Macaca fascicularis: one gene and its partner. The protein of the gene in region 1 interacts with the protein of each later gene in a biochemical or structural test. Links are inferred from orthologs where the notes say so. Each region holds a gene or a part of one and is shown in the gene's direction. Other genes may lie near its edges.

The links.
Region 2: the proteins of USP8 (region 1) and STAM2 form a complex in vitro, tested with the Homo sapiens proteins (3 studies listed by BioGRID, with this or other methods). The link is inferred for Macaca fascicularis from reciprocal best matches to the Homo sapiens genes USP8 and STAM2.

What each region holds. Positions count from the first base shown.
Region 1 is NC_088381.1:26,901,970-26,909,916, forward strand, and holds the start of USP8 (ubiquitin carboxyl-terminal hydrolase 8), read left to right. Parts: upstream 1-3,785; 5' UTR 3,786-4,148; intron 4,149-7,947. UniProt on the Homo sapiens protein: Hydrolase that can remove conjugated ubiquitin from proteins and therefore plays an important regulatory role at the level of protein turnover by preventing degradation. Converts both 'Lys-48' an 'Lys-63'-linked ubiquitin chains.
Region 2 is NC_088386.1:47,650,009-47,657,306, reverse strand, and holds part of STAM2 (signal transducing adapter molecule 2), read left to right. Parts: intron 1-3,527; coding exon 3,528-3,681; intron 3,682-6,281; coding exon 6,282-6,451; intron 6,452-7,298.

The sequences.
Region 1 (7,947 bases):
GGTTTTAATTTCTACGGAGGAAGAGGACAACAAAGTTTTGTGAACTACTGTTCGGATAAGTTTGTAGTTTTTTAAAGAAAAGACTTCACAGAGAACAGGGCAGAGAGTAACAAAATATCTGATTTCCAAAAAATTCAATCAAACTTTGATATGGATTCGGTCAAATCATTGCTAAATGGCCTCCTTAACATTATTATTAAACCAATTTACATAATGTGCTTTTTACTAGTCAAATACGTTGTTTTAAATCTTAATTATTTTTGATTATAAAAGTAATACACATTTAGTGTAACAAGTTCAAATAGTCTCTCAGGCGGATAAAGTAAAATACGGATGTTCACCACACTGTACCTACCAAGATGCCCATACCCCAAAGATGATTGCTGTTAAACATTTAGAGTACCTTTCCTGACTTTGTTGTCTAAGCAGCTTTAAAAATCAATACTTTTGGTTTAAAGTGATAGCTCTGAATCCCCTTTAGGCATAGAGTGTGGGAAATTATATTTCTGCAGCAAACTCAGGCCCTGCAACATCAAGTGTGGATTCACTGGAAATTATTTGAAGTAACACTTAGAGATCATAGTAGCCAAAAAAATGTTGGGAAATGAAAAAGGGGTTTTAAAAAATTAATTATTATTATTTTCTTTTCAAAGAGACGGGGTCTTCACTCCGTTACCCAGGATGGAGTTCAGTGGCGGAATCATAGCTCACTGAAGCCTCAAACTCCTGGGCGCAACCAATCCTCCTGTCTCAGCCTCTCAAGTAGCTTGGACTACAGGCATGCACCAACCGTGCCCGGCTAATTTTTTAATATTTTGTAGGGATAGGATCTTGCTATGTTGCCCAGGCTGGTCTCAAAACTCCTGACCTCAAGCAATCCATGCACCTCAGCCTCCCATAGTGCTGGGATTACAACTGTGAGCCCCTACACCCAGCCGAAAAAGGTTTTGTGGAGGGAGTATGATCAGAAGAAAAATCATGGAATGTGCTCGAAAGAGATCTAAAGGGCCATGGAAGTTAAAACGTTGAACTCTATAGAACAAAACATGAAGTATGGAAAGATTATTTTAAAAACACTTGACTTTGGAACAAAATCCAAATTGTTCCCATGATTTCATTCTTTGACATTATGTTCATTTGGTTATCTTAGTCTTTTCTCAGACTTCCTCTTTAACAGAGAATTATCTGAAAGCCCCTGGCTAAGTTAATGCTTATGACTGTGGTCACAAATGGATGGCTTGGATTTTATTTGTTTTGCAGTGTTTGTAAATTTTTTTATGTATACTGTTGTTGTCAACTAACAATTCGTGTGTATATGGATTACGTTAGTTGACACACACACACACACACATATATATATATATATATATATAATATTCCCCAAATTTAAAAAGCAGTTTGGAGATTTTTCCCACGCACAGAAAATCAGAAAATTGGCAACACTCTGCCCCATTTCCTTATGGCAACAATTTAAACAGGCCATGAGCCGTCCACATGGAGACTGGACCTTGAAACAGCAGCTAGTGTTTTGAGCTCTAAGCTAACACTTTGGACTTTCAGTCATGTTTTCTTTCCCCAAACAAATAGAAAAGTTTTATTTCAAAGAGGAAAAGGGTGCAACAGCTGCAACATACATAAAACCTATTTAGTTTTACTTGGGAGTGAGAATCAGGAAACCTGGGCTGTTCTTAACTTAGTTTGGATAAAGAAGGGTAGTTAAGCTGTCCTTATGTCTCTTACCAAGTGGAGAAAATACTGCTGTAGTTCACAGAAATTTTGGGGAGTTTTAGATTCTATGGAAAACGGAAATGCTATTTGTAACTTAGATTTTTTTTTTTTTTTTTTTTTTTTGGAGGAGTCTCGCTCTGTTGCCCAGGCTGGAGTGCAGTGGCATGATCTAACCTACACCTTCCTGGTTCAGTCAATTCACCTGCCTCAGCCTCCTGAGTAGCTGGGATTACAGGTGCGCGCCACCACGCCCAGCTAATGTTTGTATTTTTAGTAGAGACGAGGTTTCACCATTTTGGCCAAGCTGGTCTCAAACTCCTGACCTCAAGTGATCTGCCCACCTCGGCCTCCCAAAGTGCTGGGATTACAGGCATGAGCCACCGCACTCAGCCTAATTTTAAAATTTTTTTTTTGTAGAGATGGGGGTCTCCCTTTGTTGCTCAAGCTGGTCTCTGTCTCTTGGGATCAAGGGATCCTCCTGCCTCAGCCTCCCAAAGTGCTGGGATTACAGGCCTGGGCCACTGAAACTGGCCTTCATTACAAATTCATTGAACACACTTTATTTTATCCTTTTAAAAAAAATTCATTTCAGTAGTTTTGGGGTAACAGGTTGCATGGAAAAGTTTTTTAGTGGTCATTTCTGAGATTTTGGTGCACCCATCACCCGAGCAGTGTACACTGTACAATGTGGCACACACTTTCACTTAAAAGCGTCTACTAGATCTTTTTTTTTTTTTTTTTTTTTTTGAGGCGGAGTCTCGCTCTGTCGCCCAGGCTGGAGTGCAGTGGCGCGATCTCGGCTCACTGCAAGCTCCGCCTCCCGGGTTCCCGCCATTCTCCTGCCTCAGCCTCCCGAGTAGCTGGGACTACAGGCGCCGCCACCACGCCCGGCTAATTTTTTTGTATTTTTAGTGGAGACGGGGTTTCATTGTGTTAGCCAGGATGGTCTCGATCTCCTGACCTCGTGATCCGCCCGTCTCGGCCTCCCAAAGTGCTGGGATTACAGGCTTGAGCCACTGCGCCCGGCCTACGTCTACTAGATCTTGCTGCCAGATTTCCCATCCCTAAGACACCCGGAGTGTTCCTGAGGCCTTAGTGACTACTGCCTAAAGCTCCACCCAAATCAATTTTATGTTTACAGATAACCGGAGCATCCAATCACCTTTCTCTAAGAGAGTACAAAGATCAGCTCGCGAGAAAGTTCAGACCTCTCATTTCGTTTCTGTTAGACCGGCCTTCCCCCAACCAGACGGAGTCTTGCTCTGCTGCCCAGGCTGGAGTGCAGCAGCGCGATCTCGGCTCACTGCAACCTCCCCTCCCCGGGTTTAAGCAGTTCTCCTGCCTCAGCCACTGGAGTAGCTGGAATTACAGGCGCGCGCCACCACGCCAAGCTAATTTTTTTGTATTCTTAATAGAGATGGGGGGTGGGGGGGGGTTCACCATATTGGCCAGGCTGGTCTCGAACTCCTAACCTCATGATTTGCCCGCCTCGGCCTCCCGAAGTGCTGGGATTACAGGCGTGAGCCACCGTGCCCGGCCTCGACAGGGCCTTTTAAATGACGTTAAAAATTGTACATAAAATATGTTTTAGGATAATACCTGTTTTTCTTTGACCAAAGAAAGGCTTGGCTTCAGAGAATGTTAAGACAGAAATAGAGGGGCGTTAAATCCCCTTTTAAGTTTTTTCTAATTTCCAATCTGAGGAGGAAAATAACGTAGTAAAGGGATGCAAGAGCAACCTCGCTTCTTCCACAAGGCCCAGAATGCGAAGCGAACCTGGGCCGCTTGGCTACCGCCCGGTTGCAACCCGGAAATGCAGGGTGCAGTGCGGGGGGTACGGAACCGGCCGACTGTGTTGATCCGGCTCAGAGAAATCCCGCCCTTGCCGCCGCCGCCCACCCATAACGTCCTCCTCGACCCTCCCTCAACCCTCCCTCGCCCCGCCGCTCGGCCCTCACCGAAAGGGGGAGGGCGGTGAAAGAGAGAAGTCAAGGAGCGCACGCGAAGCCCAGCCCCTACCGTGACGTCTGGAGACGCGACGCGTCGCCTCGCAATGCAAATCGGGAAAAGGGGATGAGCTGGGCTGGCTTCCGTCCTGATAGCCAAGGCTAATTCTCCCTCGAGTTCTTGGGAGATGGGCGTTTGGCGAGAAGGCTGGCGTTAGTGAAGCGCGCCGGGCGTCACGGTGAGTGCGGGTCTTGGGCCCTGGCACCTGTCCTCTGGGAAGTCGTCCGCTGTGAACCCCCTCTCCTTCCACCAGCTGCTGGTCACCCGGGAGACAAGCCCTGTCCGCGGAGAGGAGTGGGACAACTCCGAAAGGTAGAACCGGCTTGTGGAGAGGAAGGGCCCAACCTTGAGTCTTTTACGCCACCCATCTAGGATTGCCAAGCGAGTTTCGTGCGGTTTTTCGGTTTTAAAAGGTGGCTTTGACCATTCTTCCGTTCTCTTGGACACTTATACCCGACTTTGACCTCTTTCCTCTTGCTTCCGGTTTTTTGTTTTTGGTTTTTTTTATTTTTTTTATTTTACTCTCTGCAATCTGCCTACAATCCCAGGCCTTACTACAGCTCCTAAAACTGTTTCCCAGTTTCTCCTCTTCCCTAGTCACACTTCATTTTAGTGAAGTAGGAGTTTAAAGACCCTATAAGCTTATCAGAGTTAAAACTATGACTGCCTCAAATAGAAGCTTTTCCCCGCCCCCCTAAAAAGTGCCTTCCAACCTAGAGTTGTGGGACAAGTTAATTTCGCCGCCACTCCACCTTGGAAATTATCGGAATCCTTACTTGCAGCGATGTGCATTTATATAGAAAGCTGCAGACCACCCTCCTGGGTTTATTTCTTGCCTCCAGTTCATTCTGTGACCTTGAACAAGTCACTTAATCACTAACAAAATATTTACCTGACACGGAGGTGTTGCAGAGCCTAAGGAATTTAGAATTTAAGAGACCTGAGGGTTTCAGATGAAAGGGATTTGTATCTAAAGGATATTACCTTTTCTGAATCTGCGAAGCATCCTTAGTTTTGTAAATATCTTGCTGCAGCCATTAAAAATGCCAAGTGGTTATTTGTTAAGGAAGTGTTCCTGTTTTAGGCTTGCTCTGCTGCGGCTTTGCCATGTAAGCAGATTTTGCATTTCAGCCGATTCTGTTTAAGATTCGTTGGTGAATGTCATTCATGATGGATTTGGGTAGTTTCTCCTTACAACATATCCCTGGACCATTAAGCATATCTGGAAGGTGATATCGGTTGTGTTATGTCTTTATCATGTTGATATGGCTGCCTTGAAATAGGTATTCCTTTTCTTGTGACACATTGGATGCATCTTTAATATTAGATAGTGAAGACCCTGTAGTAGTAAAAATATATATATATATATACACACCTGTCATTAATGAAATTTTGCACATAGGCATGTATTTTTTTTAGAAAACAATGTATAAGAAAAACTAACAAAAATGTTTTAAAGGTGACTTTTTTAGCATTTCATTTTTTAATATATTTACTTGGACTTTATTAATCATTATGGGCATTTGTTTATTAATGTGGACGTGGCTGGGCGCAGTGGCTCACGTCTGTAATGCCAGCACTTTCCGAGGCCGAGGAGAGTGGATCACCTGAGGTCAGGAGTTCGAGACCAGCCTGGCCAACATGGCGAAACCTGGTCTCTACTAAAAAACAAAATTAGCTGGGCATGGTGGCACACGCCTGTAATCCCAGCTACTCCAGGGGCTGAGGCAGGAGAATCGCTTGAACCGGGGAGGCAGAGGTTGCAGTGAGCTGAGATTGCACCATTGCACTCCAGCCTGGGTGACAAGAGCAAAACTGCATCTCAAAAAATTAAAATAAAAAGCGTGGACATAATGGAAAATAATCAAAATGACTTTTGAGTAAGACAGTTGGAAAATAAAACCAGTACATTAAATTTTTTTCATAAGTCTAGCATTATACTTTATTATGAACTTTTCTACATGAAAATGCGCTCATATTTACGGAAGTGAAAGGAAAAAAAGTCTTCAAGGATGTGTTGCTAATAAAATTAGAAATAATTAAGGAAACATTTAAAAAATACCTTGTTGTTGTCCCAGTTACCTATTGCTGCGTAACAAATGACTCCAAAACACAGTGGCTTAAAACTATAATTTATATCTCTCCTGTTTCTCTGGCCTGCCTGTACTTAGCTAAGTGGTTCTCACCTAGACTTTAATGCGTTTGTATTCAGATAAGCAGCTGAGTTTGGAGTCATCCGAGAGCTCAGCTGGTCTGGACATCCAAAATGGCTAATTCATGTGAAGGCAGTTGATGTTGGCTAGGAGTTCAGCTGGAAATGTCAACTGGAATGCCCACACATAGCCTCTTCACGTGACTTGAACTTCTGACGTGAACAGTATGGTGGTTAGGTTCCAAGAATACATGTTTGAGGAGACAGGAAATAGAAGCTGCGTGTCTCCCAAAAAGCCTGAACCCAGAAATAGGCACAACATTATTTCCAACATACTCTGTTGGTTAGAGCAGTCAGACCAGTATCCAACCCTCACTTTTGAAGGGAAAAATGTCAAAGAATTTGTGGCCATGCTTTGTCTACTGTAATTTTGATGACAAAGTTGTATTGGACTCTTGTTTGCATTTATATAGCAGATGAATAATAAGGTATGCTTCCAATTTCCAATTTCTTTTCTTTTTTTTTTTTTTTTTTTTTTGAGATGGAGTCTTGCTCTGTCGCCAGGCTGGAGTGCAGCGGTACGATCTCGGCTTTTTGCAACCTCTGCCTCCTGGGTTTATGCCATTCTCTTGCCTCAGCCTCCCAAGTAGCATGTCGCCACGCCCAGCTAATTTTTGTATTTAGTAGAGATGGAGTTTCACCATGTTGGCCAGGATGGTCTCGATCTCTTGACCTTGTGATCCACCCGCCTCAGCCTCCCAAAGTGCTGGGACTACAGGCGTGAGCCACTGCGCCCAACCCATTTCCAATTTCTTTAACCATAATGCATTATGTTTTAATGGCATGTTACAGTTCTCTTTTTTTTTTTTTTTTTTTTTTTTTTTTTGAGACGGAGTCTCGCTCTGTCGCCCAGGCTGGAGTGCAGTGGCACGATATCGGCTCACTGCAAGCTCCACCTCCCGGGTTCATGCCATTCTCCCGCCTCAGCCTCCAAGTAGCTGGGACTACAGGTGCCCACCACCACGCCCGGCTAGTTTTTTGTATTTTTAGTAGAGACGGGGTTTCATCATGTTAGCCAGGATGGTCTCGATCTCCTGACCTCGTGATCCACCCGCCTCGGCCTCCCAAAGTGCTGGGATTACAGGCTTGAGCCACCGCGCCCGGCCGGCATGTTACAGTTTTCAAAACATGTTTTTGTATATTTTTTCACTTGATACCTATGGTCACCCTATAGAAGCAGACAAATCATTCCTGTTTCATTTTGCAGATGAAAGTAAACTGAAGAGCAGTGGTGGTCATGTTGGGAGTGATTTATGGAATTTGTTGAAAGTCATATGATTAATAAATGGAAAGTAAGGCCTGCAACAGTTCCATAATATAGAATTTACTAGTACTGAATGATGACATATTATATTAAAGTTATTTAGAATTCTACATTTATAGCCATACTAATTTTTTTTTTTTTTTTTTGTTGGAGACGGAGTCTTGCTCTGTCTCCCAAGCTGGAGTGCAGTGATGTGTTCTTGGCTCACTGCAGTGTCCGCCTCGTGGGTTCAAGCAATTCTGCTTCAGCATCCCAAGTAGCTGGGACCATAGGCACCCACCACCACGCCCGGCTAATTTTTGTATTTTAGTAGAGATAGGGTTTTGCCATGTTGGCCAGGCTGGTCTTGAATTCCTGACCTCAGGTGATCTGCCCACCTCAGGTGATCAGCCTCCCAAAGTTCTGGGATTATAGCCGTGAGCCATCGCATGTAGCCCTTTGTTTTTTTTTTTAAATTGAGACAAGGTCTTGCTCTGTCACCCAGGCTGAAGTGCAGTGGCATGATCTTGGCTCACTGTAACCTCTGCTTCCTGGGCTCAAGTGATCCTCCTGCCTCAGCCTCCCAAGTAGCTAGGACTGCAGGCACACGTCACCACACCTGACTAATACCATACTAATTCAAGTAAAACAGTTCTCATGTATAGTGAATATGGCTTAACTAAGCCTTGTCTCTTTTGACTAACACATTACAATTTCGTTTTTTGTTTGTTTGTTTGTTTTTGAGACGGAGTCTTGC
Region 2 (7,298 bases), on another chromosome or scaffold:
ATTGACAGTAGTTTTGCCATATTTTAGAGAAAGCATTAAATATCTCCTTACACATCTACTTTGTTTCAATGCAGGATGTTAATGGTTAGTGAATAATCAAACTGGAAAAGATTAAAAAGTATTATAGATGTGGCTGTATGTTTAGTTCAGACACAATTTTTTTTAATGTTTTGTATTTTCAATTTGAAGTTGAGTGCACGGATGCAGAACCCATGGACATGGAGGACTGAGTGTGTGTCCACACATTCTACAATGAATATCATTGTCCTTGATAATTATCCCTTGATATGAACAGATATTATAATATATAATGAAAAAAGGCAGAAGCTATGACAATTTAATCTTATTTTTGGTTCATAAAAATAATTTTGTTAAAGGAAAAGATCTAGAAGAATTAGAAGTCAGAGTGAGGCTGGTGTGGGGGCTCACACCTATAATCCCAGCACTTCAGGAGGCTGAAGTGGGAGGATCATCAGAGCCCAGGAATTTGAGACCAGCTTGGGCAATACAGTGAGACCCCATCTCTAAAAAAAAAAATTTTAACAATTAGCTGGGCTTGGTGGTATGCACCTGTGGTCCCAGCTCCTCAGGAGGCTGAGGTGGGAAGATTGCTTGAGCCTGGGAGGTCAAGGAGGCTGCAGTGAGCCACAGTTGCACCACTGCACTCCAGTCTAGGTGACACAATGAGATCCTGTCTCAAAAGAAAAAAAAAATCAAAGTGACCATTCTGATGGTAGTTAATTTTTTGAGTGAGAACTCAATCATTAACCAGTTTTCTTACCAGTTTCAGTTTTTGAATAGGCCAACTGGCATTTTTTCTTGTTCCATGGCCACAGCTGCAGATGCAGCTCCTGTTCTGGGAAATGTTTCCTGTTCTTCAACAAATTCTTATTGACTGTTATTTACCCTTGTCAAGTATTCAGAGATGAATAAAGTACCAATTTTTCCCTTGAATGGATCATTGGGTTTGTTATTCCTGCTCAGAAAAACAACTCTATTGTTAGAAAGTTAAATTGTACATTTCATTTCTGTCATTTTACAGAATGAAATTTTGTAGCATTTTATCACCCTAAGAAATTATATTGAGTAAACATGTAAATTGACTCCAAAAAAGTTTAGGTAGATTTATTGAAGAGAGATTCATAGTCTGGCCTTAACTATGTTCCAGACTATTCTAATCTTATTTCCTCCTGTCCTCCAAAGATCATTTTCTACCATCTGATCAAGTTGCTCTTTTGCCTTATTACTCTGGGATTGTGTCTCAAATCTTTCAGGGGATTTCAAACACAGTGATCATGTCTTTCTACTGCATTTTTCTGTTGTTTCATCAACATACTGGGTTTTGTGGATTTCCTACAGATAAATTTTAGTTATGCATTTGTTAGCATGGCACTAATTTCTGTAGCTTTCTGGGTGGCTCGTAACTCTTATTTTTGATAATAAAGTTTGACCTGCTTAATGCAGTCATTCCTACCAGAGAGGGAACAAACTTTTTGTTGTTGTTGTTCAGACATAAAAGACTAATAGAAGAAAAGTGACAAATCTTGATAGGACTCAGTGGCTGTTTACTTGGTAGTCCTGTGTCTGTGTGCCTCTGCTTGTTGCCTCTCTGTGTTTATGTAGAAAGAACCACATTTCAATAAAAAGGCTTGTGGATGTTTCAGGCCAGATGAAAAGTGGTTGCTTAACTATTATAAATTTGACAGTGCAAAGAGAGTTCTTTATTACTCCCAGGGGAACAGACAAAATTGTTTCAAGTAGGAAGAGTCTGCTCTGAAGCTTCTTGGTCATATTTGAAGATGCTTTTATTTGGATTTTTTGTTACTACATAATAAAGTATTGGTTTACTTACTTTCTCAAAATAAACCAACCAACAAACGAGCTGTAGAGACTAGTCTTACACACTGTTTTTACTTGGATTTTCAAGGGTAATTATTTAAGTAGGTTTTTTTTTTTCAGTTGATATTTTTATGGATATAAACAAATGAAAATGTGTGTGATTTTTTTTTTTTTTTTTTGAGACGGAGTCTCGCTCTGTCGCCCAGGCTGGAGTGCAGTGGCCGGATCTCAGCTCACTGCAAGCTCCGCCTCCCGGGTTCCCGCCATTCTCCTGCCTCAGCCTCCCGAGTAGCTGGGACTACAGGCGCCGCCACCTCACCCGGCTAGTTTTTTTTGTATTTTTTAATACAGACGGGGTTTCACTGTGTTAGCCAGGATGGTCTCGATCTCCTGACCTCGTGATCCGCCCGTCTCGGCCTCCCAAAGTGCTGGGATTACAGGCTTGAGCCACCGCGCCCGGCTTTTTTTTTTTTTTTTAACAAGTGTTTTTAAATTTCCATCATATCGTGTACTTCATAGAGGTTCTGGGCCTTGCGTGGGTACTTTCTTTTATTGAGATTTATAATTCAGGCCTAGATTCTTACCCAAATTGAGAATTTTCTTTTTAATAATTGAATTCTCAAAATAAAACTGGAATGTGTGAAAGTAAATTCTCTCAGCACCAAAATTGTGAATTGATTGCATTTTATGAGGCATGGAAAGGACTTTTCCCTAATATTATAAAGTCATTTTGTCACTGGTAGAGGATTGTGACTGCAGGTTGTCCAGGTTCTTGGCATTTTGAAGAAAGAATTGGACAAAATGCCCAGCAAAGGAAAGAAAGATCGAAGCAACAGAAGAACAAAAGCAGAGATTTATTGAAAACGAAAGTACGCCCCACAGTGTGGGAGTGGGCCTGAGCAGCAGCTGAAGGACCCGGATACAGAACCTTCTTGGGTCCAAGTACAGTACCCCCTAGAAGTTTCCCATTGGCCGCTTCATGCTCACCTCATGTAAATGAAGTGGAAGCTCACGATCAGTCTGGTTGCAGAAAGCAGCCAACCAGAGGCTGAAATGAAGTTACAAAGGTCACAGTGCTGTGCAACCATCTGATTGGTTGCAAAAAGCAACCAATTAGAGGCTAGGGAGAAGTTACAATTATGCTTGTATGCAAAGGAAGACTCCGCCCACAGTCAGTCTGACTGGTTGTGGACAGCAACCATTCAGAGGCTGGAGCAGCCATTCAGAGGCTGGTTGTGGACAGCAACCGTTCGGAGGCTGAAGTTACAAAGTTGCAAAGGAAGACTGGACTTGTAATCAGTCTGATTTTTTTCGGACACCCAATTTCCCATCTGCTGCACAGAAAACGTGGGGAGTTTGCAAAGGGAGCAGCCTCTGGTCCTTTTGTTACTTAGGTGTGGAAAGTTAGGGTTGGTTTTCCTTTCAGTGTAGTTACAAGAAGTCAGCTTGAAAAACAGCCTTAGATTCCCTGCCTCCAGACCCTATTTTCCTGCCTTAGTATCAGGCTAGCTATTACAAGGATTAAGCAGTTCTTCCTCTCAGTTTCCCTTTGTGAATATTCTTTCATTAAATATAAAATAGCCTTTTGATATATGAATAGAAATTGTGCTAAATTTAAAAAATAATTCATATCACTAAACAGATGCTAAAAACTAGAAGAGTATTATAATACTTTTCTTCTACATCAGGAAGCATTCAGAATTGTCTGAATTGAATGTAAAAGTCCTGGAAGCTCTGGAACTATATAACAAATTGGTGAATGAAGCACCAGTGTACTCAGTCTATTCAAAGCTCCACCCTCCAGCACATTACCCACCTGCATCATCCGGGGTTCCAATGCAGGTGAGCATGTTTTTTGAGAACATTTTCTAAATTATAAACAAGTTTTAAAGTAAAAGAAAGTGTTTTACAGCATAGTATTAAGATTTCTTTTGTATGTAAATAAAATTATAAAATTTATCTTTGATTGTTTCAGTAAATATTGACTGAACAATTAACATTCACCAGAACAACTTAGACAGATACTGACATTTCACAAATACATTATAGTTCAGTTTTAACATGGATGAAAAGACCATTAAGTATGTGAGGGTAGTTCTGGTTCTTCATATGCTTTTGTAAGTATAAAGCATAAATCTTTTATGTAAGTATAAATCCTTTTTGTAAATGTGGAGTATAAATCCTTTGATTTCGGATGGTACCTAGCATATCAGAAGTTCCCCAGGTACCAAGACTTTGCTGCTGCTCAACAAGATTTAACATTTCTTTACAAATTTCCATAAAGATTTATTTGACTCACATGATTATTAACAGGCACAATGAACTTCTAGAGTATGCTTTATACTTCCTTTACTTAGCTGCATGACTTAAATTGTTAAAAATTTGTGCATAGCAAAGATATGATACACATCTAGGAGGTACAGACTCCATAAGCCATCCATGAACATCCGTAAGCCATCTTTTTCCAGTACTTTTCACCTTTTTTGTGTGCTTGCCATATGAAGTGAATACTTTATATTTGTCAGTATCCCCATTCAGAAGCATTTTGAAATTTCAGCCAGTTAGCCAATTGAATTCAGAATGAGCTTGGATGAGCAAAATGCATGTTAATTTATGAACACTGGTATCTAAAGGTACATGTGAAGGAGACACCAAGGAGAAAGGGTAGAATGTGGGTGAATAATTTAGATGACTTGACACAACGTAATTGTTAAGTAAAAAAAGAATAGTCACTATGGTAACTGTCACGTCAGACAAGATACATTTATCAAATGTGCCATGCCTTGATCTTTTTGAAAATTAGGAGGGTAAGAAAGATTTCTGGCTGCAAAAGACATTTGGGAGTTACTCAGTTTGCTTCTGTTTTCAGAGTTGTTTGCTGCTGCTGTGAAAGTGGGACAAAAAGCAGTGTCTGCATCGTTGTATGATAAAACTATGTTGGCTTTTTTTTTTTTTTTTTCTTTTGAGACGGAGTCTCGCTCTGTCACCCAGGCTGGAGTGTGGTGGCCGGATCTCAGCTCACTGCAAGCTCCGCCTCCCGGGTTCACGCCATTCTCCTGCCTCAGCCTCCCAAGTAGCTGGGACTACAGGCGCCCGCCACCTCGCCTGGCTAGTTTTTTTTTTTTTTTTTTGTATTTTTTAGTAGAGACATTTCACCGTGTTAGCCAGGATGGTCTCGATCTCCTGACCTCGTGATCTGCCTGTCTCGGCCTCCCAAAGTGCTGGGATTACAGGCTTGAGCCACCGTGCCCGGCCTATGTTGGCTTTTTTATGTGTCTGTAAAGGGTTATTTGCTATTCTGTGTCAGGTTTCGGTGTTTACTTGAATTCTGCTTACTGCATTTTGCCAAGCACAACTCATTTCTCTGAAAAGTTAACTTTCTGTTTGATTCCTCACATAATCTGTATCTACACTATTCACTCGAGCATTTGAAATATTCAAAAGTTTCTATTCTAATTTGACAAAAATACATCTCTACTAGAAGCAATTGGGGTAACAAGTTAGTTGTATCTGTGTAGGCTACTCAGGAACCCTAAACTGCAGAAGAAGCTGATTCTCACAGTCTCAGCCTATTGTCAGTAGATTGTTACATGTCTACTAAGGAGGTAATGTGATTGTACTTAATATAGCTTATTTGGGATTTCTAGCATTCTAAATTTTCAGATAAATGGTCTTTGCTTTAAAAAATAGCTTAATTTAAAACTGGATTGATGATCATTATGGTATGATATGATATTAAATGTGTGCATTGTTTTGATGCTATATATAGTAGACAGGTGGTAGACCCTGTCCTTAAGGAGCTGTTGTCCTGAAAATAAGTAGGGCACATATAAATGTCCAAAGAGACCTAAACCATTTTTGCTCTTTCCTGAGGATACATGTCTTTTACCAATAACTCTTCCTTACTTTTGTCCTGTTTGTCTGAAAGGTAAGAGATAAAGTAGACATTGCCAGGGAAGCCCTGGCATCCTTATACCGTTTCTTTTTCAGCTTGTTCTTTTAAGTTTCATTCTTAGGAAGGAGTTGGATGAGTCATCCTGGGATGAGGGTAAAGAAGGTTATCATTCTTATAGTGACTTTAAGTGATGGTGGGCTTCCCTTCAAGGGAGTGTACAGTTTTCTGTGGCTCTACAACAAGACATGTTTACTGAGTAATAGGCAACCTGGATAGATGGCAATCCACTACTTAAAAGTATACCACCTGTCTTTCTCCCAGCTCTCTGTAAAAATAAAAGAACAGCCAAACAAATCAAATTTCCATAGATATGGCACTGTGATTTGACAGCTCACCACTTTTAGTTCTAAGATGGATAGATTGGTAGAATCAGATTGCTTCCCAAAGACATATAGTTTCTTTCCTTTAAGTCTTTTAACATTTTAAATATATTATTAGGCACAAGTTTGGGAGATTCATGAATCAACTTTTTCTTTCTGATTAATAGACATATCCAGTTCAATCACATGGTGGAAACTATATGGGTCAGAGCATTCACCAAGTAACTGTTGCCCAAAGCTATAGCCTAGGACCCGATCAGATTGGTCCACTGAGATCTCTGCCTCCAAATGTGAATTCCTCAGTGACAACACAGCCTGCTCAAACTTCATATTTAAGGTAAGTTTTGGGAGCTGTGCTAATTTTATAATTATATGTGTTAATTTTCCTAGATTTTCAGAATGGGAATATATAGACCCTTATTAAGATGAAGTTACAGAGCTGTTTATTCATAATCCTGTGAAGTGGAATGGTGTTACCTTAGCTTTGCTACCCATACTGAGATTATTGCCTGCCCTTAAGCTTACAGTCTGCATCCCTGGGACAAAATAAAGCTAATTGTCCTTTATGAGACTAAGCCTATTATGTGCTTAGCACTGTGCTATAATCAGCCTGTGAAGTAGCCCCAGACTTACTTGTCTGCATGTACTCCTAAAAATTAGAAAACTGTTGTTACTTTGACCCTTAAAAAGAAGCGTGTTTGAACTGTGGAATTTGTAGTTCAGGTTTTTTTTGTTTTGCTTTGTTTTTTTGAGACAGAGTCTCCCTCTTTCACCCAGGCTGGAGTGCAGTGGCTAGATCCCTGCTCACTGCAACCTCTGCCTCCCAGGTTCAAGCAATTCTCCTGCCTCAGCCTCCTGAGTAGCTGGGATTACAGGCAGGTGCCACCACGCCCATCTGATGTTTTTGTATTTTTAGTAGAGACGGGGTTTCAGCATGTTGGTGAGGCTGGTCTCAAACTCCTGACCTCGTGATGATCCACCCGCCTCAGCCTCCCAAAGTGCTGGGATTATAGGTGTGAGCCGCTGCGCCCGGCCAACAAGGGTTTTTTTTTTTTTTTTTTTTTTTTTTAAGACAAGGTCTCACTCAGTCACCCAGGCTAGAGTGCAGAGGCATGATCTCAGCTCACTACAGTCTTGACCTCCCGGTCTCAAGCTATCCACCCTCCTCAGCCTCTCGAATAGCT